Linked DNA regions of Alligator mississippiensis. The protein of the gene in region 2 purifies or fractionates together with the protein of the main gene of each other region. This does not show direct contact. Links are inferred from orthologs where the notes say so. Each region holds a gene or a part of one and is shown on either strand. Other genes may lie near its edges.

Region 1 (15,317 bases), on a different chromosome or scaffold from region 2:
AAACACCTCACACATCTGCTAGTACATCTGCAATTTACTCTCATAGGCCCAAGGGTCCAACTGCTATGACATTCAGGCAGAGAAATATGAGTTCTAATATAGAGTCATACAAATTCAGCAAGTTAATTGCGACACAGTTTTGACCCACACAATGTATTTGTTTAATCAGTTTCAATCGGCTAAACCAGAGGTTCTCAAACTGTAGTCCACAGACCACCATTGGTCTGTGAGCTCCCTTCAGGTGGTCCTCAGAAAGGTGACCTAAGGCTAAAGCTGACAAACATTACACCCAACTTCCCAGAACTTCGCTCAAAAAAAAACAGGCACATCCATTGCATTAAAATGGTTAAGACTACTGATATTAAAGTATGAGTTGTGCGCTTTGATTTGTAGAACAAAAGAAGTTTATTAAGTGGTCCGCTGAGACCCTCAGCAATTTTCAAGTAGTCTGCGGAAAAAAAAGTTTACTGAGCTAGACTTTTGAAAGGTATTCATTGTCTTAAGATTATGATGCAGGGGTTTACCTAACAGCATGTGCAACTCATGAACTGGGCTGGCCGATCACTATGCAACAATAACCCTATGAGATGAAAAATATGAATTTGGCTTCAAATATATATTTCCCCTTTGTTAATTCAAAATTGAGCTGAAGTAGTATTTTCTAGGGCACAACCAAAACAAATAACTTTGTTTCACTTTCACTTAGACCCATTATTGCTAGTTAGCTATGTGAAAGCTATCAACAGGCATGAGTTTTTATTTTGTATTTCCTCCCCGCCCCCCTTTTTTTAAAGGAAGATTGCTTACTGTTAGGGATAGTTATTCACTGGAAATTGTACATAGTTTGACATTAAGGAAACACTTGCATTAAATAGCTTTAAAACCAGGTACAAAAAGAAAATCCTTTTTCAATTGTTCCCTATTTTCAATGAATGAAAGTGTGACAACATCTATTACATAGCTTTCATTTAACTGTATCACCCAGAAAAGGCTCATAAGAAAAATCTAAGGCCCCTTCTACACATGCAGGTAAAGGCACAATAGGATCCAAACCACAGGTGTGGGACTGATCCCAGGTTCCCCCTGCACCAGCAAGAAGCAAGCCTCCTGCAACTGGGAGTGACTCCCAGATGTGGGGAAAACACATGCACCCCTACAGCTGAGAGTTGGAGTAGCAGTGATCTCCCAGCCTCAGAGGAAAATTGCAGCAGTGCCCTATGACTGCCAAGACCCATCTGAGTCCTGGTACTGGGAGGCACACAGAAGGGACACAGCATCTGCAGCTGCAGGTGCTGCCAGGACCCAGAGTTGGCAGCTGCTGGGGCTGGAAGTCCCCTCAGTTGCAGGACTCCAAGAATGGTGCACCTCTACAGCTGCGAGCCCCCATCAGGTGGGGAGACCTTACTACCCATACAAATTAAAGCTCAATAGCAACCAGCTACAAAGTTAGTAAATATTTTTGAGGTCTAACTTTATAGCTGTTGGAACTTTTTATGGCATGATAGCTATTTTGCATGTGTAGCTGGTCTTAAGGTAATTGTGCAATTATCCAATTAATATACCATGTAGAGGAGGCCTAAGTGTCTCCACACATTTCAATAAATGCTCAGTAAGAAAAAAAAACTGTTTGTAATTCAAAATGAAAATACTCATCTGGGAAATTAAGTGAGGAATATTTAGTTGACCATACATTCATACTTTGGCTTACTCCACACTAACTTCCCTACAAAGCAGACACCCAAAAGTGTATTTTTGCATAATAAACAGAATATGCACAGTGAAATATCAAAATATCCACAGGGTGAAATATCAAACCCTCTTCTTAGTCTTAAATCAAAGTAATCCCTCCTTTTTACCACTTTTCAGATTAAGTTTGAGATGCAAGATGTATTTGATATGCAGCTCCTACTACATTTGCCACTACATTGCACAGCATCTAGCATAGAACAGAGTGAATTAACTTAAAGGAGTTCAAGCTATTGCACAAAGCAATGAAATATTATACATGGTAACAGCAAGCAGGTTTTCTTATCCTAAGATATTTCAAGTTGTAACAGAAATTAAGAATTTCCAACACAAGAAAAAATCTAACTTTCAGACAGGTCACTAGTGAGCAACCAATGAGCCTGAGAGAGTTTTAAATGCATTTCTTTGCAAAGTGTACACTTAGTTAAAACTTGTGCTTTTGAGAAAGAAGAGATAAATGAGGTAACATAAATGAGAGCAAAAAATGGACATGCTTAGATGAATTAAACTAGGAAAGGAACATGAAAATATTATGAAGCTTGGGGAAAACTTCCTGAAATAAAAGCCAGAAGCAAGTTGTACAGTTTTTAGGTGCCACAATATTTTGCACAGAAAAAAATGGAGTGAAAAGAAAGAACCTCTCTCCATGGAATGACCACCTAGAAACCCCAGCTGCGTCTCCTGTCTCTTCCCTCCTCCCCCGAACTGCAGCAAATTCCAAATGGCATCAGCTCCCACAAATCTTTAGGCTCTGTATATCACTACACAGGTAGGAGGACATGAAATAAGAGCAACTTTTTGAAAAATACCTGGAGAATGAAACTGCCAAAACATAAATACTCAATCCTGCTGAAAAAATTATATTAAAAGCAAGATAACCAAGACACCCTGTAAATATCAAATCCAAGTACAGAATATTTTACAACCAAGCTTTCAAGGTCCTATGTCACACTGTAGAAATAAAATGACAACTTTTCTAGAGATGTTCCACCTTCCCAAAAGCCACAGAACATGCAAGAGGGCATCTCATCTTCTGAGGTTTTCTAGACACAACACTTTCTTCCTATAAACCCCCCCTCCTTGCTCCTCTGTTCTCAGAAACATGCGTCTTTAAAAATATAAGCTATCATTCCAGATGAAACAGAAACCACTCCATCGGTCCATCTGACATAAAGCCTCCAAATGACATAATAGATGGAAAATATCTTTCCTTAACCTCCAGGATCCTGGAGCTATCAATCTCCCATCATTTGTCTTATTCTATGCACTTATACTTAGCAGGTAACATCCACAGTATTTATGTTTCAACTAGAAACTAACTAACTCAGTATATTACACCATTGCAACTTTTCAATTTTGTCATTCATTTAGGGACATTTCCTTCAAGTACAAGAAAAGAAAGTAAAAATAATAAAAATGTTGCGGAATTAACAGGAATGGGATGGAGGGAAGAATAACATAACTTGTGCACAAGATCAATCCAGATATTTTTTATTGTAGAGCTGTTATGGCAGTTTCAAGTATTTGATTAAGGGTGACAGGAAAGTTGCCCTAATGTGCAGAAACAGACAAAAAAAGTTACACAAGTCTGCTGTTCTAGTCCAAGAATTAAGAAGTGGGTAAGGAAGAGGGGGAAAGGGAGATCAAGACTGAAAGGGGAACATTTTAGCAGAGGGAGGTTACTTACTAGTGTATTTTCTCAAGGATCAGTCTTGGAACCAGTCTTGTGTACTATTTGTATTAATGATCTTGGCACAAAAATTAGGGACATGATAATAAAATTTGGCAATGCCAGAAACTTGGGAATTACCATCAACAAAGATGAGGCTCAGAACATCAGGCAGTAAACACTGGCTGGGATGAAAATTAATAGCCCCAAACAAAGTCATGCATCTAACAACAAAAATTTCTACTATAATAAGAGACAACAGGCCTGGATGTATCAGTCACTTACAGGAACATTATAAGCCATCAAATAAACACGAAGCCTTGAGAAAGGCAAAAGAGATTCCAAGATGCATTAGGGGAGTTGTTTCCTCTAGACATAAGGAAGTACTAATAACACTAATAGGACGCGTCCACACGAGCACGGACATTCAGTTCCCCAGGGACAAGCAGCAGCAGTGCATCTTGTGCCACTGCTTCTTGTTCCCAGAGAAAGCCCATGCCACATGCACTTTGGCATGTGGCAAGTTGCCCTGGGTGGCACAGGGGAGGTTGAGGCCAACACTGTACTGGCCCCAGCAGCCTTACCTGGGGTTCCTGGGGGCTCCCGGAGCTGCAGCCATGGTGCTCCTGTTGGGTGAAGCCTAGCTGGCAGCCACAGCACAGCTCCACTTTTTAGCAGCACACGCTGCCCAAGCATGCACTGGTCCATTTTTGTTCCTGAGGGGGTTTTTTGACCCCTAGATAATCCAAGGGTAAAAAAAAAACAAAAAAACAGAGCAGCACATACTTGGGCAGTGTGCCCTTGCAGTGCAGAGAACACCAAATCGTGCTGTATGTGGCACTGCAAACGTGTTTGTAGTGCCACATACAGCACAACCGCGCTTACCTGGACACACCCAGGAAGTTTCTGGTTAGACCTTCATCTAGAACACTGCTTACAAGTCTAGTCATCCACATTTGAGGAGAGTGAAGTCAAATTGATGCAGGTGCACAAAAGGGCAAGCTGAAATGATCAGGGGGTTGGATGACCCATCTTATGAGGTAAGACTAAAAAGAAAGTGGCTATGTTGGTCAATAAATAACTTGGGGGATGCAGATGGAGAAGAGCTATTTCAGCTCAAGACAATGTTGGCTCAAGAACAAATATGTATAAACTACCCACAGATAAAATCCTCCTCATCCTCATAGACTCGCAGAGAAATACAGCTGGAAAGGGCCTCAAAAGATCACCTAGTCCAACAAATTAAGGTTGGTAATTCACAAGAGTCCTAAAGCAAACAGGTGGGAGCTTCTGAAACAGCCACCCCATTTGGTAGACTAGGATTTTAAAAAAAAAAGCTAACTAGTTTTAGGATGCAGGTTTATCTGCTTCCAAAAGGGATTGTATGTGCTGGGTGGTCAAATAAGTAATTGGACTGATGCTTCTGGAGACTGTTTTCAGTCCCAGGAGGCAAATCAACTATAAATGAATGATCTACATTTATAAACAATGTTGGCAAGTTCTTTATGGAAACCACAAACCAAAAAAACAAAACCAATACTGAAGACACTGGTGTGATTTATCAGACATGCTGGGCAGATTCCCAGCTACTCTGGCTGGGATCTCTTGGACATCAACATTTCACAGAAGCAGGATGTTGCCTACTGCCGTTCCCCTGGGGCAGGTTGGGGCATTAGGTGTGTGCTGTGTCAAGGCTGATGGTGGTTTTCCAGAGAGTTTAGATGACAGATTTGTACAGGATGCTTGGGATGGGGCTAATCAGGCCTGGCCCCAGGCAGGGGGTTGGACTCGACGACCTCTGGAGGTCCTTTCCAGCCCTACTTTTCTTCTATGCTTCTAGGACAATGGTTTTCAACCTTTTTTCATTTGCAGACCCTGCCAAAATTTCAAATGGAGGTGCAGACCCCTGTAAATTATAAGTGTGGGTATTCACAAACTTTTCATTGATCGTAGTCATCTTTCGCAGACCCTTTAGACATAGTTTGCAGACCCCCCAGGGGTCTGCAGACCACATGCTGAAAACTACTGCTCTAGGATACTGCCACGTTCACCCAGAGCCTTGAAGCTCTTGGATTTGAAGTCATGCCCCAAAAAGCCCTGCCTCCTGAGCCAGACTCTCCTGCAAAGCTGGCATTAGGAAGCCTCCTGACAGAACACCCCGTTTCTTAACCCAAATCCCTGAACCCCATGCCGAATCCTGGTGCCAGAGAAGCAGCAGCAGCCGGATCTCCACAGTCTGCAGGCAGCCCAGTGAAGTGCCCCTCCCTCCCTCCCTCCCTGCTGGCTGCTACAGTGTAAACACCACAGGGAGGAACCAGGCTCCCTCCTCCCCTTTCCCAGGTGGAACTCTGCTGGGGGGGGGGAGTGTGTGTGTGTGAGAAAAGAGATGTGTGTTGCTGCTGGGGAAACAAATGTGTGTGTGTCTAGGGGGGCTGTGTGTACGTGTTGCTGCTAGAGTAGGGAAGGAGGGAGGGTGTTGCTACTAGGGGGACAAATGTGTGCATGTCTGGGGGGGCTGCGTGTGCACGGGCGTGTGTTGCTGCTGGGGGAGGTGTGTGTGTGTGGCGGAGCCCGTGCCCCGCGGAGGAGCGGGCGGGGAGGCAGCCCGCGCCATGGCAGCCGGGCCGGGCCGGGCGCCGAGTACTCACTCGATGAAGTAGCTGGCGCCCTCGTCGGAGAAGCCCTCCTCCCAGCCGCGGGGCAGATCTGGGGACACACGGGGGGGGGGAGGGGTGAGAAGCTGCCCCGAGGTGCTGGGGGGGGGAGTCCAAGCACACCCGGGGCAGAGGCGGGGGCGGCCCCAGCACCCACCTGAGCGGATCATGTGTCCGGAGTTGACGGGCTCGCCGCTGCGCGGGTGCAGCCAAGTGGTGGCGCGGGCCAGGTCGCTGCGGGGACGGGACGTGCACCTGTTAGCGCGGGAGCGGCGAGCGGGCGCGGACACCCTCCTCCCCCCCCCGCCGCCGCCGCCGCCGCCGCCGCCTTACTCAATGAAGAAAACGCGGCCGTCCCTGCACACGCCGTAGGACCAGTGCTCAGGTAGTGCGTCCCGCGCCACCGCCGACGCCGCCGCCGCCATGTTCGCGCCCGCCGGCCCGGGCCCGACCCGACCCGCTGCCAGGCCGCGCTCCGCAGCGCCCCCCGCGTTGCTAGGGGCGCGCCCCGCCCCGCCCCCGCGTGCACATGTGAGCCCGGCAGAGCCCGCCACTGTGCGCCGGTCAGCCCGGGAGCGAGTGTGTGAGAGAGCCCTGAGGGCATGTGCGAGCAGGAGTGTGAATGAGAGCCTGTGTGTGAGCCCACGTGAGTGTAAATGCGCGTGTGAGAGTCTGAGCCCGTGTGAGTGTGCATGCACAAGAGTGAGCCCGTGAGTAAGTGTGTGAGTGCCCCTGAGTGCCAATGTGTGAGCCTGTGTATGAGGGCCACTGAGTGAGCAAGCCCAAGTATGAGCCCTTGCATGTATGCAAGTATAAGCCCTTGTGAGCACATCCATGTATGAGAGTCCATGTGTGTGTAAGTGTAAGCCCATGTGTGAGTGTAAGTCCATGTGTATGCCCCTGTGTGTACAAGCCCATTCATGAGTGCATGTGTTCATCCCACCCCCAGCTATGCCGCCGCCTCAAAGGGAGCAGTGAGGCTCACTGTGACATTCACCCCCTCCCATGTCTTCTTTCCTTTGTTGTGGCTGGGGCTCGGGGGCGATGGCAACGGAAAGATCCCTCTGCCCAGGGACCAAGGGGCTGCTGGCCCAGAAAGGGCTGCTTGGAGCTGCCAAATCTCCTGTCTGCTGCAGGACTGAAGTGCAGCTCCCTGCAGGTTGGGTGGGCAGAGTACTGTGGCAGGAGTGGGGGGGAAGTGCACTCCACTGCTCTTGGGAAGTGGGGGTGCCTCATTTCCACTCCTCCCCCTGCCAAAAAAGCCTACTGGGTTCGCTTGGTGACCATTTCTGTGCCTCATTCCTCTCTACCCCCCAAAGAAACAAAAAAGAGAGAGGAACAGAAATGGTACCAAATGAACCCAGGAGGAAGTCAGTTTTAAAACGAACCACAGGGACAGTGGCAATGTGTAGGGGGGGCACAGGGGTGCATGTGCACCCCCTGAGAGTGCTGGTGCACCCCCTGAGAGACCGCGCTCCCCACTTAGGCAATGGGCAGGGTGGGTACCAGTGCCAGCAAGAGAGGAGGGGCACCAGGTGAAGCGCCGCTGGCACTTCTGGAAGCACCACACCTGCATCCCGGTTGGCACAATCGGCCATGGGGGGACAGCCCCCTAGTTGGCAAGACTGACCATGGGGGACACCCCCTCCACCCCAGTCCCTGACTGGTTGCTGGGGGGGCATGTGCCCCCCCCCCCCCAACTCAGGTGGCACCAGTCGCCCATGCACAGGGAGGTTTTTTTCCCCACACAGCTCAGTTATGCTGCCATGGCCCAGCTTGTCACCAGATATGGTGGAAGCTGACAGTCTAACCCGGGCATGCTCAGCCTTCACCCTGTGGGCCAAAGGCATCGGGCCTGTGTGGCTCCTCACACATCAGGAAATTTGTTGGTGGGGGAACAGTGCCCCTCTCCACTGCCAACATCCTGGCCCAGAGCAGCATTTCAGAACTGGACCACAAACCTCCCCCTCACACAGCCAGATCAGGGCTTGGCCAAGCTGCCTTTCTCCACAAGGCTGGATTGGGACCAGGCTGCCAACTCCCTCCACCCCCTCACCCCTGCACAGCTGGATAGGGCCCCACGTTGTGTGCCCTGAGTGCCAGATTGGGTCCACTGGCCAGTTCCAGCCTACAGAGGGACCCAGCACTGCCCATCCAGCCGTCTGCAGAAAAAGGTTGAGCACCACTGGTCCAGCCAGATTCACAAAGGGATTGAACAGATTCTTAGAGGAAAGGGCCATCAGGAGCTATTGAGTATAGGAGTTAGGGATACAGCCTCTGAATCAGAACTTCTTAGACCTTAAATCCCGGAGGCTGCATGTGAGTATCAGTGGAAAAAAAGTCCCTCATCATATCCAGTTCACTCTCCCTTTCAACATTCACTCTTCTGCCACTATGACAGGTCTATTTGATGTGTTTAGGGGGAACTTGGGCCAATGCCCATCAAGTAAAACTATAAGTCCCTCTTCATATGGGAGGCCACTAAGGGCACATCACCAGATTACTGGCTGTGTGACACGGGCCTGTTTGATGGGAATTGGGAGCATGGGCCATTGCCCACTGAGAAGAGCTAAAAGACCTCCTTAAGCTGGGAGACCACAACATGCACACCAAGTGATTACCAGGGACAACTAGAGAAGAAAACAGGGACAGAAGTGAAGGTTCGAGTTTCAAAATGAGTGCACCAAGGGGGAACATGGAGCAGCTGTGTGACACAGGAAACTGGGTAAAATATGGTCTGACTTAGTAAGTGGCAGTTCTTATGTTAGGGGGGTACCCATGCAGCCCTCAACAGCTTGCCAAAACTGGGTAAGCAGAAATAACTGCCTGCCCCTGCATTACACACGAACCGGTTTATGTGATCAGAAACTTGTTTAAACCTGTAACAGAACTGATGTTTAGTGTGTGGTGGGCCAGTAGAGGGTGCTTCTGCGTTGACCCACCCACCTCACTGCTCCCGACCACCTTCCAGGCTCTGAGTGCCTCTCTGGGGGTGCCTCATGTCCAGCCGACCCTCTTCCTGGAGCACACCTACAAGCCTAGGGAAACGCTGCCACCACCCAGGGTCTGGACTGATCTTGGCCCTGTGCCCACTGGGAAACACAGGCCTAGTGGTCCTTGAGTGTACTTCACTCACTGCAAGAACTTGGGGTGCTTCCCTCAGTCTGAAGCACAAATAGTGGTCACCCTTAGTCAGCCGAACCAAGGGGACCCCAAAGCATAATCTCGACCCTCTCCCAATAAGTAGCCCATGCTAGGTACCAAGGAGAACTTTATTGGTTACAAGGAGTAGGTTTGGAATAGGGTACAGGGTAGAGCAATATCATAGAAATCCCTTAAAGCAAACAGTGGCATGGTAGCCTTTAATTACGCACCTGTGCTACTGCAAGCTATATATCTAGTTAGATCTCAAGTAGCTTACTCACAAGTATCATCCAGAAGCAGGTGGAGATTCCCTCTGGAGGCAAGTGGTTCATTGACCATGAGTTCAAGAGAGAGAGCGAGTTTCAGATGGTCCAGCTTCTCTGAGAGTTTTCATCATGGCTGCTGCCCCATCTCCTGGGCAGTCCTTAAATTATATAGATTTATGACTTCATTTACCTGACCTAATGAAGGCCAGCACCTGTTGGCTGCCAGCCAACCAATTTGAAATGCATCACTGGGTGCTGGGTAGACTGGCAAGGTCTCTAGCCCCCTCCCAGTCATGATGACATTGCTTGGAACAATAGGGTGTTTAAGCCCCAATCCAGATGTGTGAGGTCAATCACGCAGGCAGAGGGAGCAGGTTTCCACCTCCAGCTCAGGTTACAACTCAGGCTTACCTGAAGCCAGTGGGGCCAGGGGTGTCTGCCCTCTGCAGTGACCATGGTAACCAAACTGTCAGATTGGTAACCTGCCTGATAATAGAGTTTGGGGAGAAACAGAGATGGTATTCTGCCACGGTGCACATAAATCTGTTTGAGAAAACCGTGGTTGAATGTAGTATCAGACATAACTGGTTTGGGTCAAACTGGTTTATGCAATGTCTGTCCCAGACCCCTTGCTGGTCTAAGATAAATCAGACTCCCCCAGCATCCTGGCATGCTCTCTGGGCTGAGTGGGGCTCTCTGCTCCCTGGCTACAGATCTGGCAAGACTGAGTTGCTCCCTCCTCTGACCCCCACCACTCCCTGCTAACCAGGAATTCCTTCCCTCCCCTCTGCTTTGTGGAGAGGTGTATGTATATTATCTAGCAGATCATATGCTGGCTAGCTGATAATGTCCCTCTATTGTTTTCTTAATGGGGTGATAAACTGTTATCAAATTCCCTGCTGGACTAATCAGAGCATCCTACCTGGGATTGGCCACCCCCTCCCTCCCCCCCCACCCAGCTCAGTTCTATGCAAGGAAAGGGAGGGCTGCTCTAGCACTCTGGCTTCTAGCCTGAGCCACTGCAGGCATGTGCTGGCATTTCTGGGATGTCTGCACACAGTTACAAAGTGATTCAGCTTAGCCAGGTTAGACTAACCTGCAAAGATTGAATCAATTCAGGCTCAGGCTTTTTGAATGCCTGTCCCTAGCCCCTACGGTTGCTCCCAAGCACTTTCTTCAGCTCTCTGAACCTGTGCATGTGAACATTACTTGGGGGGGGGGGGGGGGGGTACAGTGCAAGGCAAAAGAAAACAAAAGACTCTAAGAACTCTAATGGCACATCTACATGAGACGCTACTGTGCAGTAGCGTTGGCAGGCACTAACTCTGACAGGATGTTACTACACAGTAGTAATGAGCTACTGTGCAGTAGCTTCTGAAAAAACCTGTGCAGCAACAGTACTGTGCAGTAACAACTGCACAGTCCACCGCTCATGTAGACGCAGCCTAAGGGTAGTAGTATTGGAAGGAGACCAGGTGCATGTTGCACACATGAGCAATCTGGGCTTTGATTTTAGTGATCTGTCAAGAGCTTAATAAGTAAACATCTGTGGTTTGATTCACAGTAAATTAAGATAAAGCACATATACACAATTGTTCTTTACTATACTAAATGTTCTCTTCTATTTTCTTAGTTATGTCTTAATTTGCTGCACTGCATAATCCCTCTCCCTAGCTGATCACTTCTCCCAAATCTTAGAAATATCTGTACCCCTGTTCTTTAGTCATCAGTAAACCAAGATTTTTCTAACCTTTTCTCTCGAGTTAAGCTTCCAAAAATCAAATTCTTTTACTGGGTTTTTTTTCTGAATTCCCACCTAATTTATCAATATCTCTATGATGAATCAGTGCTCAGAAATTAGTAATTATTGCTGGGACTACGCACTGTAATGGCAACAAAAACACAGTTATTTACTTCCTACTTAATGCCAATAAAGTGCTTAAAGCCATATCAAATACATAAAAAACAGTACCTTGTCCTGAAGAGTTTAATTTATTTTTTTGTATTGGGCCAAACTTTTCGCACCTGATTAACTTCATGAGCTAATGAAATTGGCTTATTATGCCCTGGCTTTCCCACTTGACTCCTTTGATCAGATGAACTTGTATATTTATAATAATAGTCTTTGTGTAAACTATTACTAAAAATCATTTGAGGCTTGTCTTCAGTGACATAATAGAAAAATATGTTCAAAATCATTGAAATGGAATTTAACTTCCCCCACATTAAACCCATTTTGGATGCCTGATGCATAAGCAACCATAACATTTTTTTGAAACATTCTATATGTCTAAGAACATATATTCCCTCTTTTGATTACAGCTCTTTAATCTGCACACTTAAGTCCTATTTTCATCCCTGTAGGTAGGCAAAAAACAAAAACAAAAACAAAACATATATCGTTAGAAATATGTTAAAGTGACATAGACCACATATAGAAAAACAGAATATTGTATTATAGTTGAACAGGACCTATGTTTCCATACAAGATGAAAGTCACTTCCTGTTTGGAGCACTATCATTCCAGATTAGTGATCTTCCACCCAAGTGCAGTGTCACCAGGGGGTGCCTTGGGATCCATTCAAGGGTGCCATGAGGTGCCATGCAGCTTTAGCACTGTTAGGTATGCAAACACGATTCACAAGATACACCCAGAATTTTCAAATAGGAATCCATAGTATTAAAAATATTCTGGCTTCTTGTGATCTTTCTGGGCTTTTTGCAACAGAATTGTTCTATCATTTCTCTATTCAAAATAAAAGAGTCAAAACTAAGAGCTGGTGCCTTAAATGATCGAGGGGTGCGTGGAGTCTAAAAAAGGTTGAGAACCCTTGTTCTAAGTGCTTAAAAATCAAAAAACTAGCTCATTAACTTAAAAATTGCTGTGACCTCTGGTGGTGCAGGATAAGACAAGTAGTCTTCGAACCAATAGTTTTCCCCAATGATTGTGTGTTTACAGATTTTCCTACCTTGTGCATGTATTCATATACTCCCAGTTTTGTAGATGATGCTCAGATTATGGCTCTAGTATGGATTATGACTCCTCGAACTGATTTCAGGTACCTAGGATCTCTGCGAGACCATGGCACTTTGGGATAATATTGAAGAAGTTATTCAGAGTTACATTAGGAATTTCAGTAAAAAATAATATGAACTAAAGAGAATGAAGTATGCATGTGCAGCAAGTCTAAGGGTCTATTAAAAACTGATGCTAAATTGTGTCCTCCACCTTTTACCCCTTCTTTTAAATTCCTGCCCTACCACCCATCCCTTTTGATCTGCCACACACCTAAGTCTCCCTCTTCTTTATTCCTTCCCACTTTTGATTCTCCTCTCACTCTGCTTCCTGCACCCTGGCTTTTCATCCTAAAACTTCCATACCTCTGCACTGCTCCAACCCTCCCTAGCTCCATACCACAGATGTAAGAATCTGGAAGTATTAGAAGAGCTGTGTATCAGGAGCTTCTTGACCAACTAAGCTTTCTTTTGATAACACTTAGTCCCAACGTATCCAGGATAGTAACAGAATTTAGGCTGTATGTACCCTAACTTTGTACTTTTGGTTTCCAGAGGTTCAAATAATTGATCTCACTATTCTGGAAGGGCACAAAGCACAGGCAGACAGACTTAGATATCACCTTAAAATCCTTGCTTCTAATATATTTCCTGGGCCATCATGGCTACAAAAATACTCTAACCATCACTCTATTAACACAATTTTGGGGGTATTAATTGAAATAAATTGGTTTACATATGAAAGCCACACCAACCAAGCACTCTCAGATGAAAGAAAAGCCATACACAGCCTATAAGAGGTAAGTGGCCAAATTTTGGGGGACTATTAAACACTGCATCTGAGTTTCAGTCTTGAGCAAATAAACACAAAGTGTACATTAAAAGAAAGATAAATTTCAAAAATTTTAATTCTCATAGAATCATAGAGTCATCGAAAAGTAGGGCTGGAAGAGACCTCCATAGGTCCTCTAGTCCAAATTCCTGCCTGAGGCAGGATTTATCCCTATTCAAATCATCCTGTATAAATCCATTGTCTAATCCAGTGGTGCTCTACCTTTTAGCCACATGGGCTGGGTGAATGGTATCTGCCTTCTGTGTGGCTACATCACACTGCAACCTTGTATGAATCTGTGTTCTACCAAGACTCCCAGATACTTCTCCATGGTGCTGCCACCCAACCAGGTGTCATCCATTTAGTATTTGTATTTTTGATTATTCCTCTTGAAGTGTAGTACCTTGCATTTATCAGTGCTGAACTCATCCTGTTAGCTCCAGCAGAGTTTTTCACTGTGTCAAGATCAGTCTAAATTTCTGTCCTGTCCTCCAACATGTTTTCAATCCTTCCCAGTTCAGTGTCATCAGAAACTTCCCTTTCTATTCCAGCATCCAAATCATGAATAAATGCACTGAACAGCACTGGACCCAGGACAGACCCCTTTGGGACTCCAACTCAAAGCCTCCTGCCCTTCTGATATGGATCCATTTATAATTACCCTTTGCTTGCAGTTATTGAGCCAGTTATCTATCCACCTTATAGTAGTTTTGTCTATCCCACATTTCTGCAATTTATTTATAAGGAAGTCATGTGGGACTTTGTCAAAAGCCATGCTGAAATCCAGATACACTATACCCACAGCATTCCCTTCATCCACCCAATGAATTACTTTATCAAAGAAGAAGTTCTTGGCAACAAGTGACGATTTACTTGATTTTCATTTGACCTTTGCTGGAGCATACCACTAGAGAGAAAGAGCTTGGAAGAACTGTAGGCCAGGCCATACTCACTAGGGCTGCATGAAGCTTTGGCTGCTGATTCGATTCAGCAGAGATTCAGCCCACTTCGGTGGCCAAATCTGAATTGAATCAGGAGAATCGAAACTGAATACACTACTCCAGATGTGGCCTCACCAGTGCTGAATAAAGGGGAATAATCGCTTCCCTTGACCTGCTACCAACACTCCTAGTGATGCAGCCCAGTATGCCATTAGCCTTCTTTGCAACAAGGGCACACTGCTGGCTCATATTCAACTTATTGTCCACTGTAACCCCCAGGTCATTTTCTGCAGAGCTGCTGCCCAGCCAGTCAGCCTCCAGCCTGTACTGGTACATAGCATTGTTCTGTCCTAAGTGCAGGGCTTTGCACTTGTCCTTTTTGAACCTCATAAGATTTCTTTTGGCCCAATCCTCCAATTTGTCTAGGTCACCCTGAACCCTAACCCTACCCTCCAGCATATTTACTACTCCTGCCAGCTTGGTGTCATCTGCAGACTTGCTGAAGGTGCACTCTATGCCATCATCTGGGTCATTGATGAAGACATTGAACAAAACTGGCCCCAGGACCAACCCCTGGGGCATTCCACTTAATACCAGCTGCCAACTAGACATGGAGCCATTGATTACTACACTCTGAACCTGATGCTCCAGCCAGTTTTCTATCCACCTTACAGTTCATTCATCCAGCCTGTACTTCCTTAGCATGCCTGAAAAAATGTTGTGGGAGACCTTATCAAAAGCCTTGCTAAAATCAAGGTATACCATACCCACTGGTCTCCCCACATCCACAGAGCCAGTCATTTCATCATAGAAGGAAATCAGATTGGTCAGGCATGATTTGCCCTTGGTGAATCCATGCCGACTGTTCCTAATCACCTTCTTCTCCCCCAAGTGCTTAGAAATGGATTCCTTGAGGACCTGCTGCATTATTTTTCCAGGGAATAAGGTGAGGCTGACTGGTCTGTAGTTCCCTAGATCCTCCTTTTTCCCTTTCTTAAATATGGGCATTATGTTTGCACTTTTCCAATCATCCAGGACCTCTCCTGATAG
Region 2 (15,581 bases):
CCCCTTGTCCCCTTCCCCAGAGCCACCCCCAGCACCAGCACGGACGACCAGGCAGCTCGCCCTAGACCGGCTGCCCCCTGCTTCACAGTGTCCTCCACCCCGGCCACTCACATCCGTGCCCGCTAGCCCGGGGCTGCGCTGCCGCCCGAGTAGTGCCGTCACCACGAGCCCTGCGGCAAGGCGGCGCTGAGCATTTCCCAGGAGGCAGGCAGCAGGGAACGGCTGCCAGGCTCATGCAATCCCAGGAGCCTGCAAACCAGAGACCGCAAGGGAGCACTGGGTTTTCCAGTCCGTCTGCCTCCTTTCTGGAGACGTCGTGTGTGTCACAGCCGCTCCCCCGGATCGCAGCTAGGAAGGGGCGGCAGGGCTCACCTGGCGCTGTTAGAGGCGACGTGTGGGGACCCATGGGTGCAGGGGTGCCCGGGCGGGAGAGCAGCTGACACCCCTGGTACCTGCCACGGTTCAGAGCCCTCGTTTCGTCACGGCCACGTGGTGACGCAGCTCTCACTTGAGCTCCGTGGTGCTCACCCACTCCTCCCAGTTAGGAGCTGCTTGCAGAGGGTGGGAAGCTCTGGGCAGCTGCAACCCATCCACCCCCTATCCCAGCCGCGCCTTCCCCATGCTCTGTGCATTGCTCAAGGCCTCTCCGTGGCCCGGCAGAGGGGGCAGCGAGAACCCCAGTGCCACCGCGGTGCCAGCCTGGAGCCGCTCCACAGGCGAGAGCCACTTCTGCACTGCGTGCAGCCACGGCCCCTCTTTCCACGGCGGTGAAACCCCAGCCGTTTGCCCCAGCGGCAGAGGCAGGTGCGTGCTGACGTGGCACCGCGTGGCTCAGGGCTTCCCGAGTCAGCTCCGGGAAGCAGGTTGCAGCAAGCACCGAACAAACGCTGCCCGGTCCCCAGACCTCCAGCCCCCGCAGGCTGCTACAATCCCTCCCCCGGTCCGGGGCTGGGCAGGGGGAGACCAGAGTCTCACAGCCGGGAGGGAGCAAACCTAGGGTCCTGTGGCCACCAGGCCCAGTCAGCAGCGGTCTGTCCCCTGCTAACTTGGGGTACTCGGAGCCGTGCAGGGCCTTGGAAGCATTGGCTTCCAGGACTGCTATCGACTGGGAAAGACCCCCGTCCATTGTGCTCAGTTTCCCATCACACAGGCAGAAAACGAAAGCTGGAAGGGAGAGCAACCTGGGTCTGACCACGGGTTTTCCACGGTCCCTCTCCCTTGGACCTTCCTCGACCTGGAGACTGCGACTCAAGGGCCGTGCCCCTCACTCCCTGCTCAGCCCCTTTGCTCCAAGCATGTCCACTCCCTTGGTGGATCTGGCCGAGCTCTCAGTGTCCACCACATCCAGCGGCTGTAACCTCCACGCGTTAGTGACCCGTGGGTGAAAAGGAACTTCCTGGTGTTCGTTTTGAACCGACTGCCTACTTATTTCAGTTTGTGACCCCTGGTTCTTGCCTTGTGAAAGTCAATAAGAAATCCCCATGGACTTTCTCTTCACCAGTTAGTATTTTGTAAACCCTTCTCATATCTCCTTTGCTAAGCTGACCCGGCTTGTCCCCTCCAGTCTCAGCTTGCATGGAAACCCCTCCGTACCCCTCATCCGGTTGCCCATCTCCGGACCTTCTCGAGTCCTTCTATGTCCTTGCTGAGGTGCGGGCACCAGAACTGGGCGCAGTATTCAAGGTGTGAAGGCACTATGGATTTATAAATGGGTATGATGAGAGGGGCTCTCGCACCCTCTCGGCCTGTGCCTCCCTCAGCAGCAATGAAGCCTCCTGCAAGGGGGGGCCCAACCGCGTCCAGCAGCCTGTCCTGGGGAGAGCCGGGCAGCCCTATGCCCCTGCCTGAGGCAGGGAGATCTTTTTTTTCTTCTTTAATCCAAGTCCCAATTAGTACCAAATGCAACTGAGCAAAGCTCAAAAACTGAGCCTACAAAAATCCATGGGTTGTAGGACTCAACCGGGCCAGCACCCTGCCAGGACTACAGACCTGGGGCTTCAGGGGCTCCCCAGATCCAGGCAGGCAGCCTTCATGCAAGTCCCAGGCCTCCGGGATTTTGGATGCCCCCAGTCATGCTTGATCTCAGCCGGGGCAGGGAGGCAGGCTGCGCCCCGGGAGGGAAGGGCCTTGGCTATGCAGCAGGAGGCAAGGGTGGTTTGCACCTTTCTGGGCCCCCAGACTGAAGGCAGGGCAGAGGTGCCCCTTTATAGACCAGCAACATCAGGTATGGATATAAAGCACGAGCTTTCTTGAGCCCAAGTTCAGTATCAGACTAACACGACCAACAGCCTCTCGGTGTAACAGGAGACCAAGCCGGGTGCCACCGTCCAGGGCAGTGCCTCTCCAGGGTGGTGTCTGTGCCAGGGGCAGGGCGTGGGCAGACAGCAGAGCTCAGCTTGTGGAGCAGCACAGGGATGCATCACACCTCGCCTCGCTGCACGCACCTGTCCTGCTAGGAATATGCAGGAGTCCTTTGTATAATCCCCCCGCCATGAAAGCTTTCACTTTCTGCCCTGTCCTTCCTTCCAGCCAAGTCTCCTTCCACCCCCTGCTTTCTGGCATCCCAGCCAAGAGCGTGCCCCTCTGGGGTCCCTGCCTGGCTGCAGCCCGGGGGAGCTGCACGTTCATCCCCAAAGCCCCGGGCTCTCGTGGCAGCAGCTCCCAGCTCAGCAGCTTCTCAGGGGTGCCGAGGTTTCACTGCGTCCCCCTGCACTGCCCCAGACCCAGCTCTTTTGGAAAGTACCTGGAGACCTTTCACATTTCCCAAGGGCTCCAAGGAGGAGCCAGAACTTTCCTGTTGCCTGGGGGAGCCGGCTGCCTGGCAGGAGGCAGAGACGGGATCGGGTTCCCCGCAGCGGGTGGAATTTAAAACTGAAACACATTGGGCAAGGCCCCAAGTGACCCCACCCCACCCAGCTCCTGCACCCAGCTGCCAGGGCCTCAGTGATCCAGGGAACTAAGTGGCTGCACGGACACCTTCCCCAGGCAGCTAGACCCATAGCGTCTCTCTGCCATGGGCGCAAGGCTCTTGGGCCATGCATAAGTGATGGGACCTGAGAGCTGATGGCTCAGCCTCCCAACGGGCGATGGCTGCAATACGCCTGGTGCCGGGTGCGTTCACAGTGACGGCCTTTGAAGCACGGAGGCTCCGGCACCTCCTGGGGCACATTTTCTCCGCAGCCGGTGCCATGCTCCGAGCCAGCCCCCTGCATCCTGGCCAGCAGAGCCAACCCCACGGCCTCACTTGCACCGACCGGGGCAGGGGTGAAGGAAGACACTGGTCTTCCTGACTGCTGGATGCCGACAGCTCGCATGTGGGGCTGCCTCAGTTTCCCTGCAGGACCCCCCTTGTCGACTCCAGCTGCAGTATGAGCTGCAGGGGAAGGTGCTGAGACCCCAGCCCTGGGATGCTGTGAGCATGTCCCTGCCCCCATGCCAGACCCAATCGCCATCCCAGCCAGCCAGAGTCTGAAAAGGATCGCCAGCGCTTTAAGACTCTGACCTCCTACCCCCACCCCAGGTCAAGGTCTGGACCGAAGCCATCGTGTGGCACGGGGGGTGTCAGCGCTAAGGACAGGGTGCGGATGCAGAGCTCCGCTCGGACATTGGTGCCCAGGGATCAGGACTCAGCGTGGTCACTCCAGCTCCTGGCTGGGCAGGAGACGCAGCAGCCTCCAGCCCAGCCCCGGGGGCAGGTAGAGCAGGAAAAAGCACTTCCTCCCCTGCCTTCCCGGGTTCCTGCCAGCGGCAGGTTATTCCAGCCCGGCTTTGCCACCCCAGCCCAGGTGGGAGCAGAGGCCTGGAGCACAGGACCCGAGTGCAGGGGCAGCCAGGCCGGCGTGCCCCCCCAGCAGGGCCCACTCCCACATGCGCAGGGCAGGGCTGGTGACATCACTGAGGAGTTTCGCCCCGGTCCAGACTGGCTGGGCGAGTTTCTCCTGAGAGCTGACTCAGACGCCAGTCACCTGCGTGTGTACACAGCGGCTGTGCCACCCCCAGCCGGGCTGGGAACGCGCCAGGCATGGCGCTCAGCTCTGGGACGCCAGCCAAAGCCTTGCCAGGCTGCAGGAGTGGCCGGGGCCGTGCAGGGTGGGGCTGTGGGGCTCAGCACAATGGACCCACCGTGGAGGGACCAGATGAGCTACAAATCCTCTTCCAACGGGGTGCATAGGATTACCTCCCCCTCCACTTGAGGCCACTCTCGGGTGGAGACAGGGCTTCACCCCCTTGCCTGTCGCCCTGTCGCTGGCTAGCCTGCCTACAGCTCACTCCCAACGCCCTTGGTGCTAGTTGTTGCCCCCAACCTACAAGTCCCAGCATGGGTGCACAGGGATTTGCCCAAGGCACCACGAGCAGTCAGTGGTTGGGAATGCTTGGCTTCCAGCTCATCCCCTCCCCGTACGGCAGCTCCCCCCAGCAAGCTGGCGATGGAGGCGCGGGCGCTCCCGGGACTGCCTCGAGGAAAGCAAGCAGCTGCTGATGCCCACAGGGAATCACCCAGCGGGAGGCTTTCCTCCACACAATTAATGCATCCCGGGCAGCTCCATCCAGCCCTCCGAGGGGAATCCTCAGTGACGGGTCTGCAGGGAGGGTTTTGGGTACAGTCCAAAGCACCTGGCCACTGCCCAGGAGCAGCCCTGCTCAGGCACTAAGTGTTCACAGCGGGTCCAAGAGAGCCCCTCGTGCCTGGGTTTTCCTCCTGCCCCCACGCACAGGCCTATCCAGACCTGTCTGGGAGACACCATCCTCTCAGCCGCGAATGGACCCAAGTGCAGTTAGGGGGTCAAGGCCTGTCCGGCGCACTGCAGGCAGGCTGACCCCGCGAGTCTATAATGCCTCCGATGGGGGCCATTGATGGTGACGGGGGACTGGTCTCAAGCTTTGCCCCTAGCTCCTTCAGCCGTTCAGCTCAGGGCAAGCAAGACCAGGGGCACCTCAACCTCCAAGCCTCTGGGCTTGCACGTAGGATGCCTGCCATGGATGTGGGAACTTCTGAAGCCCCAGACTGAAGAAGAGTCTGGAAGAGAGGAGACTTGCCGGAGATATCGCCACATGGACTTGAGCTCTGCTCAGTCAAAATTCAGAACTAATTTGGCCCAGAAACAAAATTTGATTTAAAAAAATCCAGACAGGTCCATGGGAGGGGCCTGCCTGGGCGCTAATCCCCTAATTACAGGCCAGTTCTGCCTCCCTGTCACTGTGGATTATCACACCAGAAGCCTTGTGCCCTGCCAGCACCCTGGCACGGCCGCCCTGCTTGCCCGGCGAGGCAGTCTCCAGCCTCCTGCGCCCGGGGACCAGCTCTTCCGCTGGTTGTGGGCAGCTGAGGCCTTACAGGTAACCTGTGTGCAGCTCCCGGGACAGGGCTACAAGGGCTCTCTCCAAGCTACGTCTCACCAGCACTGAGCTGCCTCCGGTTGCAGCCCCAGGTGGACACTGTCTACACTGCCCCGTGCCCTTGGGGGCACCAGCACCTGCTGGGCTACTCCGGTCTGCAGCCAACAGGCTCCTGGTCCCAGGGATGGGAGTGCTTTGCACAGGGACTCTCCTGCCACCTGCTCCTGGGCTGAGCCTCTCCAGAGGGTCAAGCCGGCTCCAGGGTCTCGAGTGCGGGCAGAGAGCAGGGAGGAGACCTAGGGCCATGTCTCTGCTCTCGGCCCCCGCACCCGCCCCTGCCAAACTTTTGAAACAGAAAGCAGCGGGGCTGGGAACCTGGGGAATTCCCACTCAAGGAACCGGGGCAGTTGCACAGAAGGGTGGCTCAGGCCAGCGGGGAAATCACCGGTCGTGGTAGCGTAAGGCAGGACCCCCGGGCAACTCGTGATCAGGCAAGAACCAGAACCAAGTGTCCCAGCTGATTTGGAGACACTGCTCTGCACCACGAGCTGCCAGGAAGGCACGGGTGCCACGGGTTTCCCCATGCGTCTCTCTGCGACTCCTCTACTGGCTGCCTCTGGGCTCTAGCATGTTCCCCCTCAGACAGGACGGAGCCAGAGCTGCCTCGCAGCAGCTGTGTTGTCGCCACCAGCCTCGTCACCCATTAACCAGGAGCAAACAGCACTTCCATCGCAACCTCTCGAAAGCCCCAGCGCAGCCCAGGACCCCCACACACGCCATGCTTTGCAATCCCAGCACCAGCCGCCCCCACGCCGGCTCCCTCCCCCAGCTACAGCACAAATGCCAAGGGAAAGAGGAAGCGTCACTGCTAACTCAGGCCTCAGACCAGCTCCCACAACCGCTGGCATGCGAACCGGGGAGGGATGTGCCCCTGCAAGGGGCTGGGGCAGGCTGCATGCAGCAGGTTGGTGTAACTGCAGCAAGCGCAGCAGGCTGGCTTGTCTGGACATAGCACCCACATCCCACCAGCCGGCAACAGCCGCTAACAAAGTCATGGACAACGAGCCACGCCAGGCAGCGCAGTAGGTACAGCCCAAATTACGAGCTGCATCAGCACCCCTCTGGCTCTGGGGCTCAGGTGCCAGCAGGCAGGTCTTTGGAGGCCAGCACAGACCACGCACTTCTCCAGCCACCCCTGCTGCTCCTGCGGGCCCTGGGGACAGTGCTCTGCCATCACTGAGAGGATGCACAAGACCCGTCTAGTCGGCTGCCTCCAACCAGCTCTCCCCAGACAGACCCCATTGCTCCCTGCCAGCCAGGAAAAAGCCCCTGGTTGGCAAAGGGAAGCCCAGCTCATGTGCCAACCCAGGGTGGGAACAGCTTCAGCCTTCTTGCAGCCTGGACATCATGCTGCGACTACCTCGGGGAATGGCCCGTGCATGTGCTCTCGCCCCACGGCAGGTGCGGGGGACCCTGCTCTGCTCTGGGGCAGGAGCGCACACACACAGACAGCTCCTGTGGCACAGCTTCCATGCCCTTGCATGCCCTGCAGCGACTCCTCCACATTGCCAGACCCCGTGGGCTGGCAGCTCCTGCTGTCCTGGTGTCAGCCCTCTCAGGGAATCCCCAAAACCATGACCCTAGGGTGGGGACCAGCAGACCAACACAGCGCCCCCCAAGCAGCTGGGGACCCATGCCCCTAGGAGCTTGGGGTTGGGGACACCCCAGATTTACAACAGCCTGTCAGGTCAGCCCTGGGCAGGGGGCTTTGGCAGCCAGGGGCGCCCGGCAGAGAACAGAGAGGCCCTGCACTTGCTGTGAACACCACCATTGAAACAGTGCCAGGCATTTGTGCAGTGCCAGGGGAGAGAGCTGCCCCCACCCTGCCCCAGACAAAAGCACCCCTGGACCAGCTCAGCCCACTGCTTGCATTTGCTCCTCGCCCGCCAGAACCGACTGCCCAGGCACTCCCGAGCGCAGCCCTTGGCCGCAGCGTGCTGCCCTCCAGCTTCCTGTTTGCACCGCCCCAGCGCAGGGCGAGCCGCGGGCGGGGAGGTGGCACCAGCCGTGCCTGGTGCGATCCATCAAAGCCGGGTTGTCAGAGTTCAACAGTCAACCGGAGCCCCGCGCCCGCCCAATGCGAGTTAGAACAAGCCTGCTCCCTCCCTCCCTCCCTCCCTCCCTCCCTCCCAGCGCCGGGAAAGGGCAGGTGGGAAGGGGCTTTGTGCTGCTCTTTGCCTTTCCCTGCCAGCGGCCAGCCCGCCCCTCTCTCGGGGCCTTTCAGCACCTGCCGCCCCCCCGGGACGCTGCACCAGGACGGCACGGGATCCTGATGGGGAGGGGCACTGGGCACAGGGACCCTGGGGGGTCCTGGAGCATGGGACGCAGGGGACTAGGGGTCTCGGCACGGAGCACGGAGGGATTAAGGGTCTTGGGGCACTGGGCAGGGGGGCACAGGGGCACTAGGGGTGTCGGGTCCCCTGGGCGACCCGCGGCGCAGCGCTCACCTGAGCCCAGGACTCTGCCCCTCTCCAGGCTGTGCCGGCGCACGGCGAAGGTGAAGGTCTGGGCGCTGAAGCCGGGCTGGCAGCGCGTCTCCTCGCACAGCCCCGGGCCGGCCTGGCGGGGAGACAGCGTGAGCCGGGTGTGGGTGGGGATGGGGATGGGGATGGGGATGGGGTCGGGGGTCGGGGTGGGGTCGGGGCCGGGGTCTCACCTGCAGCAGCAGCAGGAGGCAGAGCGCGGCGCCGGGCGGCCCCATGGACGCGGAGTGCGGGCCGGGCGGGCGCGGCGCGGGCAGGTGAGCGGCCCCGGCTCCGCCCCGCAGGTGGGTCGGGACGGGACGGGACGGGACGGGCCGGGATGGGCCGGGCCCGGGGGAGGTCCTCGGGGCTGCGGGCGGGGGTTTCCGCCTCCCCCGGTCCTGCCCCTGCCCGATGCGTGTGCGGGGCAGGGCGGGATTCCTCCTCCTCCTCCCCCGCATCGCGCTGGTCCGGCCTGGGGGGCTGCCCCTCCCTCCGCACCCGCGGACCGGCACCCTCCTGGAGAGGCGGGGCAGGGTGTAGAGCTGGGACACGGGGTTTGATCCTGCCCGGGGTGACCCCCGTCTCCTCCCCATAGATTTCATAGACACTAGGGCTGGAAGGGACCTGGGACCACCATCGAGTCCAGCCCCTGCCTGAAGGCAGAAGTCAGCTGCGGTCACAGGATCCCAGCAAGATAAGCATCCAATTTTTTCTTGAAGGTGTTCAAAGTGGGTGCTGGAACCACGCCGGTGGCAGGCTGTTCCAGACCTCGGGGGCTCGGACAGTGAAGAGATTCGTCCTTGTGTCCAGCCTGAATCCGCTGCGACGGAGTTTGTGACCGTTCAACCTCGTCATCCCTTGGGGCGCTGTGGTGAACAAACGTTCCCCCAGGTCCTGGCGGTCACCCCTGATAAACTTATAGGTGGCGGCGGACTCTCTGAGACCAGACGTGACAGACCTATGCCCTGCCCCATACGTGACCACTCTCATGGTCTTAGGAGGCTGCCCCGGGGTGCCAGGCACAGGGGATCCGGCTGCCCCCCCATCAGCAGGGCTGTAGCACCAGGCAGGTTTCGGGGTCAAGGGTGTCATGTCCCGGGGTGCTGTTTGGGTGCATTGGCTTTGCAGCCCCCCTGGGGAAGACCCCAACAAAGTGCCGATGCTCGACCCCGTGCGCTAGGGACACCCGTGACTGGGAAGTGGGACCAGGGACCTCAGCTTAGAAAGCAGCCAGCAACCACCAGCAGCTGCAGGCCCCGGGCCCCAACCTCAGGAGCCACCAGGCCTTCGAGCTGGCCCCAGGGCAGGGGCAGGAGCCAGAGAAGTGAAAGGAGAAGGGGAAGGTGTCTTCCCACACCCTGTCTGAGGGCGGGCGGCTGGGAGCGGATGCTGGGCAGGACGAAGGTGACAAACAGGGCTGACAGGTGAGGCGTGGGGCCACCTCTGCCCCAGTAAGCTCAGCCTGGTGACGGGACATGCCGGGTGGGGCTGCGTGGGCAGCAGAGCTCGGGCATGAGCTGTTTGCTGCAACTGCAAGCGTGCTAGAGCCAACTGGCCCAGCGCAGGGGTGGGCTGCTAGTCCCCCCATGCAGAAGGGACCAGGGCTTTTGCTTCACCCCTGCAGCTTCCCTCCAGCTGGGCCCCCACAGAGCTGCATGGATTGCATAAGGCAGGAAGCCTGGAGCGGGGCCTGCTGTGCCCAGGTCTTAAGGGCAAAGTTCTTGCTGAACAAACACCGAAACTGCAAGTGCTGCAGTGGCTCAGCTCTGCTTCCTGTCCCTGCTGGTGTGGCCAGCCGGATGCTGTAGCTGGACTCAAGGGCAGCCCGAGGCAGGGGCACATAGGGAGCAGGCAGGCGGCTGGGCCTGGGCATGCAGGCACCACGTGCTGCAGATGAGACGGGCTGCGGGGGATACAGCAGAGCTGGCCCCCGTGCAGGAGAAGGAAGTGCACCTTGCTGGCAACAGCTGATGGACCAACCACAGCTTGCGCGCCCGCAGTCGCCACCACGACTTCCTCCTCACTCTGCCTCCTTCCTGGTCTGTCATGCCTCCCAGGAGCCCAGGCATCGTCCGCTCCCATCCTCCTGCCTGGGGTCACATTGTACCGTATCCTTTCCCCCACCCCGTCTTCTCCAGCCTGTGGGTCAGCAGCAATCAACCTCTGGCCTGCAGCTATGGCCAGGGCACCTACCTGCCCTGCTCCTTCCTGCGCTGCGCTCTCAGCCATCCACCATGCGCTTTCCAGGCCCTCCCTAGACCACCCGTCACTGTCCCCAGTTCACGCAGCCTCCGATGTCAGCTCCAGCCTCCCTGCCTGGGCACTGCACCATCAGACCAGCCTCTCGCTGGGCCCCGGGAAGGGGCTCCTGCTCCTTTCAGTCCCTCCTTACCACTTCCCTCTCAACAGCCTCTGGTCCTGGAAGCCCCGTGGGGCAAAGGTCATGCGTCTGTGCAGCACCCTGGCCCAGTCATCCCCACAACACCCGGCAGCGGGCTGGTGACCACCAGGCTGGTGAAAGGGGACGCTGCCCTTGAGTCCAGCTTCCCCTTCCACTTGCCCGGCTCCTGCTGCTTGCTGGCAGGTGATGGAGAGCAAACGTGGTGCCAGGGCTCCCACGGGCATGCACTGGCCAAGTCGTGCCTTAAACATTGAATTATTCACTGCTGGCTCCGCAGGGACAGGCAACTCCAGGCCTTTCCTTCCATCCCAGCAAGCAGGTGCTCTCCTGGGTGCAGTCCTGCCCAGCTCAGTGCTCACCTGATGACCACAATCTCTAGCATGGCCCTGCGCCAGGGGACAGAGGGACCAGGGGGCATAGGCTACCCCTAGGACTAAGCATGTGCCTGGAGGGCGCCTGCTCCCTGTTCTGACCTCAGCAGGAGGAGAGCAAGGTTCATCGTGGAGCATGGGGAGGCCAGCTGGGCCATGGGCATGTCCTATTCGAGCAGCCATAGTCCTTGCCCTGAGACTAGGAACAGGGCCCAGGCACAGGAGAGCTGGACCCTACCCGTGCCAGGAGCCCGAGGGGGTGGTATCCTTCAGAAGTGCAACGTGGGGAGAATGGGCAGCAGCAAAGGATGGAGAGGGTGATGAATGGGCACAGCAAACAAAGCCAACAGCCAACCCACTTGTGCTCAGTGCCGTGCCCGGGGTGCCGGAGGGGAGGTGCGAGCTGCTTTGCATGGCCAGAGCCTTGCTCCAAACACTGCCAACAGCTCCGGGCAGGAGCGAGGAGGTGCCCAGGCTCCTGCCCCACCCCTTTCTCCTAGTCACGTCCTTCGGCATGGAGAGGCCTGGAGCTAGGGGTCGGGGTCACCCTCCCAGGACCAGATGGGGGGGTAAGAAGAAAGGGGGCAGTAGCCAAGTGGGGCAGATCCCTCCTGCCGCAGGGGCTGCCCATGCCTGCCTCCTTTGCATCCAGGGCCCTGCATGCATAGTAGGGTTTGTTTTCGTACCCCCTACCCTCCCACTGGAAACATGGCTCACGGACCTGTGGTCCTAGCTCCAAATACACCTACCCCAAGCCACTGAGACCGCTGTTGCTCCACTCCCCCTCTTCCATGGGTCGTCACTGGCGGGTGTTGGGCTGGCCCCCAGCACCCAGGTTGCATGGGAAGGTGCTGCGGAGGCAACTGAGGAGAAATAAGACCTCTGCCTTATTGCTCACCGCTATTGTCAGGAGCCATCCTTTGCACTGCCTCCTGCCCCTCCAGCCTGTCTCCAGCTGCAGCTGCTGTCCCCAGAAGGCCCCTTGGGGTGGGCTGGGGCTCCATGGCACATCGCTGGCACCTGCACGTGGGAGCATAGCCAGACAGCTCCGACCGATGCCAGCAGCGAGCAGGTGGCACAGGTGAGCAGCCACCTGAGCTGCACCAGTTACTATCATCCCTGTCCCAGCAACCCGCGTACCAAAAGCAGGGGCAGCAAGCAGGGCATGCCAGGCCAGGAAGCCCAGCAGCCGAGGGGGCGAGCGCACCCAGTCTGCTCTGCAGCCCGGGATGGTTTCAGAAGCACCCACAGCAGCTCCCCAGGGCTGCCAGGATCCCACAGGCTCAACTGGGAGGCGGGCAGGGTCATGCCAGTCCCAGGTGGTAGGCCAGGTGCCTGGGCTACAGGGCAGGGATGCATTCCCTGCTCCCAGTGCCCGCCCCAGGGACCGGTCCCAACCCTGTGCCATGCTGCCCCCTGCTGGGCAGAGAAGGGAGCCGGGCCCTCCCACGCCCTGGATCACTTCGGGGTGCAGAGCTGAGCCGCAGGACGTGGGGGTGGTGGAGGGTGCCTCCTGGGACACCCAGCCGGGGGGCTGCTCTGGGGGAAGCTGGGCAACACAGGGGCAGGAGATGGCTGGGGAAGAGGGCCCTGAAGGGCTGCAGCACCCGCGCCGGAAAAACCAGTCGGACCAGTCACCAGGCTGCTGCAGAGGCTGGGGGGATGGAGCAGTCCCTGCTCCCCCCCACACCCAGCCTCAGGTTACAAGCTGCTTTCTGAGCAGGGAAGTACCCCCTCCCCCTGGGCCCCTGCCAGGATGCATTACTCCAGGCAGGTGAAAGAGGCCAGGTGAGGCCTCTGCTCCCAGGCTGGGGAATCCCAAGTCCCAGCCTCAGCCCGTGCAGGCAGGCAGCAGCCATCCCCCCAGGGAGGTGCCCAGCTGGAAGCTCTGCAGCCAGTGCTCATCCAGGCTCCTGGCTTCCTCTCCTAGCTCTCCATGCCCCAGGCAGGGCCATTTCTTCCTGCTGCAATGGGAAAGGTGCCTTTTGCTATCACTGGGGGAATCGCAACAGGCCACCCCTGTCCCATGCACAACAAACCCATCCCCCAGTCCATTAAGGCAGCAACTCTGGGTACTGCTCCCAAGGAAGTCCACAGCCCCCATAGACTTCCTGCAAGGACCCAAGCACCAGGTCCCGGGCTCCAAAGAGGGAGTCCCAGCAGAAGGGCTCTCTCTGCCCCCACAGCTCCAGCTGTTCCCAGCAAAGCCGGAGCAGCCTGGGCCAGCTGTGGCTGCGCAGCCCCCACAGCACAGGGGAGTTGCTGTCATTATATCAACTCCACTTCCCCCACAATGCTCGTTAGCAAGGCCACAGGCGAGAGCCCAGGCTGGGGGGTGGCAGCAGCACCCAGAGCGAGGCAGCAGCTGAGCTCTCTGCAGAGATAAGAGCTCTGCAGGTGGCTTGACCTGGCCAGCCTGGCCCCCTGCTCCAAGCCCTTGCAGCACCAGCCATGCCCCAGGGGCACCAGGGAGGGTGTTCAGCTTACCTATGTTGCTGTACACCCCACCCCCATACCACGAGGGTACCTGCAACTCCCATGCCCAGCCCAGCACTGCTGCCCGGGGAGCAGGGGGCAGAGCAGGCAGCCCCTGCCCTTGGAGGGTGCTACCAGGGTCACATTGTGCTGCATCTCCTTCCACTGCACCTGGCTGGGCTTAGGCCTCATCTCACCCCCGGCGGTAGAAAAGAGGGTTATAGCAGATCCAGACTGGAAGACAAGATGCTGGGCCTTGCTGCGGCTCTAGCTCTTTGCTGCACAAGACCTGCCCTAATTATTGCCCTGTAGTTAACAGTGAAAGCTCAGAGGGGGTAGTTTCCGAGGGGGGCTGGAGGCTAGTGAGGGCGAGATGTAACAAGGAATCTTTTATAGGGCTGCAGCGAGACCACCCCTGGAGCGTCGCATCCTGGTTTGGGCACCGTGTCCTGGAGGAAGAGGTAGGGAGAGAGGGTGGAAGCCTTGAAAACCCAACGCATGAGGAAAGAGCAAGAGAACTTGAGTAGTTCAGTCGAGACAAGGGAGAAGAGAGAAATACAATAAATTGTGGTGACAGCCAGGTAAGCCTGTTCTGGAAGCAGATGAGCAGTAAATCGGTTTAAACGACTGCAAGGAAAGCCTCATAGCCACGTGCTTGTTAAGCACTGGGGCAGATGACCTCGGCGATGGGACAGCCCAAGTAAAGAACAGGTTCCAGGGGCCAAGCGAGATCTGAGCCCAGGAGAAGAGAGGGCACGGCCCGGCCTGCCTTCTGCAGGCTCCCAGCTGCCTCAAGGCACTGGCCCCAGGCATTGTGCCACCACTGTGGCAGGGCTGGGTTCCACGGTGCTTGCCCCCACATCTCAGACACCCCAGCACTTCCACCCCAGCCCGGCTCTCAGGACCCCCAGCAGCTGGTTGCAACTCAGCAGCTCCAGTCTAAGCAAGGCAGCTGGCAGTGCTTGTTGCACCCCTGCACCAGGGGCTGGAGAGGTCAGAGCACAAGAAATAGTACAAGGCAGTGCAGCAAGACCCCTCGGTAGGGGAGGCCTCACAGACAGTCCTGCAGGAGCAGGTAGAGACTAGGGCTAGCGCCAGTGCCAGCCCCCTCCCGGCATGTCCTACCCTACCATGCAGCAGGCTCCACTCCCCCCTGCCCCAGGATGGGACTGGTGTAAAGAAGCAGGAACTCAGGGCACTTAAAAAAAAAAAGAAGTACTTTTAATAAAACTAACATGGTAGGACCGTCCTGGCCAAGCAGCGCCCACATCGCGCTGGGGATAATCGTACAAAGGGAGGGGAGAGAAGCGATAGCCATGGGGAGGTACAAAAAAGGAGGCAGCAGCTATCTGATGCTGCAGGGAATGGTTGGATTGAGGCGGCAGCGGCATGTGCAAGGCCAATTTGAGCACAGCCCCAGCCGCGGGCACGGGGGGCCAGCTGGCCCAGGCTGAGAAGCCAAGAGCCGCTGGCCATGGGGGGATACGGGCTCCTAGCTCCACAGGGGATGGGTCCGTGCGTCTGCACGTCCAGAAGGCACCAGCAGCTTAAGGCAGAGAGCTACAGGTCGGAGAAGCAGTGGGTTCAGCCCTGCAAAGGTCTGGGACGACAGCCCCCCCGCGGGGTCTCCTGCACGGGGACCCGGCTGCGTGGGGCTGGCATCCAGCTTCCACACACGTTGCTCCGTGCAAGGCACACGTGGGGCCCTTAGTCCTCGCCGCCCCCATACATGTCGGCCAGCTTCTTGAAGCGGCTGCCCCAGTCGTGCAGGTAGTCGTAGTCCTGGTCGCGGTCAGAGCTGGTGGAGTCAAGGGAGCTAAGCGAGGCGGCCTCGGAGCCGCTGCCCTCGTAGTCAAACACGAGCAGGGAGTCGTAGGGCGGCGCCGTGGGGTCCGTGTCGGCCGCCTTCAGGTTCTGGGGCCGGGAGGAGGCAGCAGGTGAGCATCTCCCTCCCTGCCCTAGTGCAGCCTGGCCCGTGCGGGCTTTGGAAGTGGCTCAAGCTTGGTGTCCAGAGACATCCCGACACCCAGCTTGAGTGGGGGCTGTAGAGCTCAGCTGGCAGAGACTGGAGCCCCCCACCCTCATGAGACCAAGAGCTTTGGGGCAGGAGGACATGGCCTTGGAGCCAGAGTAGTGCTTCTGCACCGAGCCCTGCACAGCACCCTCCTCGTGGCACCAGGACCTGCCCCCCCAAGGCAGCCGAGCATGGGGACCTGACTACACAGCACTGAGCCACGTCCTCAGCTAGGATGGAAGCACCCAGAAGACTCAACCCTTTGCCTCCAAAAGCCACGAGAAGACCCTGGAGTGGAGGGCAAGCCCTCAACCCAGGCATGGACCAGGCCCTGCAAGGACACAACTGACCCCAACACCATGTCTTGGGCTCAGGCCAGCAGGCACGTACCCCCACCCACGCTCCTCACCTCATCGATGAAGTTGCCGATCTCGTTGGGGTTGGCGGGGCGCGGCCGG

What was found.
Region 1: the proteins of B-cadherin (region 2) and PLEKHA7 purify together in Homo sapiens (co-immunoprecipitation; 3 studies listed by BioGRID and IntAct, with this or other methods). This does not show direct contact. The link is inferred for Alligator mississippiensis from reciprocal best matches to the Homo sapiens genes CDH1 and PLEKHA7.

The regions. Positions count from the first base shown.
Region 1 is NC_081825.1:193,064,521-193,079,837, reverse strand, and holds the start of PLEKHA7 (pleckstrin homology domain-containing family A member 7), read right to left. Parts: upstream 6,512-15,317; 5' UTR 6,495-6,511; coding exon 6,403-6,494; exon of another isoform or gene 6,383-6,402; intron 6,304-6,382; coding exon 6,227-6,303; intron 6,122-6,226; coding exon 6,064-6,121; intron 1-6,063. UniProt on the Homo sapiens protein: Required for zonula adherens biogenesis and maintenance. Acts via its interaction with CAMSAP3, which anchors microtubules at their minus-ends to zonula adherens, leading to the recruitment of KIFC3 kinesin to the junctional site.
Region 2 is NC_081833.1:76,122,563-76,138,143, reverse strand, and holds the start of B-cadherin, read right to left. Parts: upstream 8,160-15,581; 5' UTR 8,099-8,159; coding exon 8,054-8,098; intron 7,957-8,053; coding exon 7,845-7,956; intron 1-7,844. Other genes in the region: B-cadherin, read right to left, coding at 14,817-15,023, 15,533-15,581.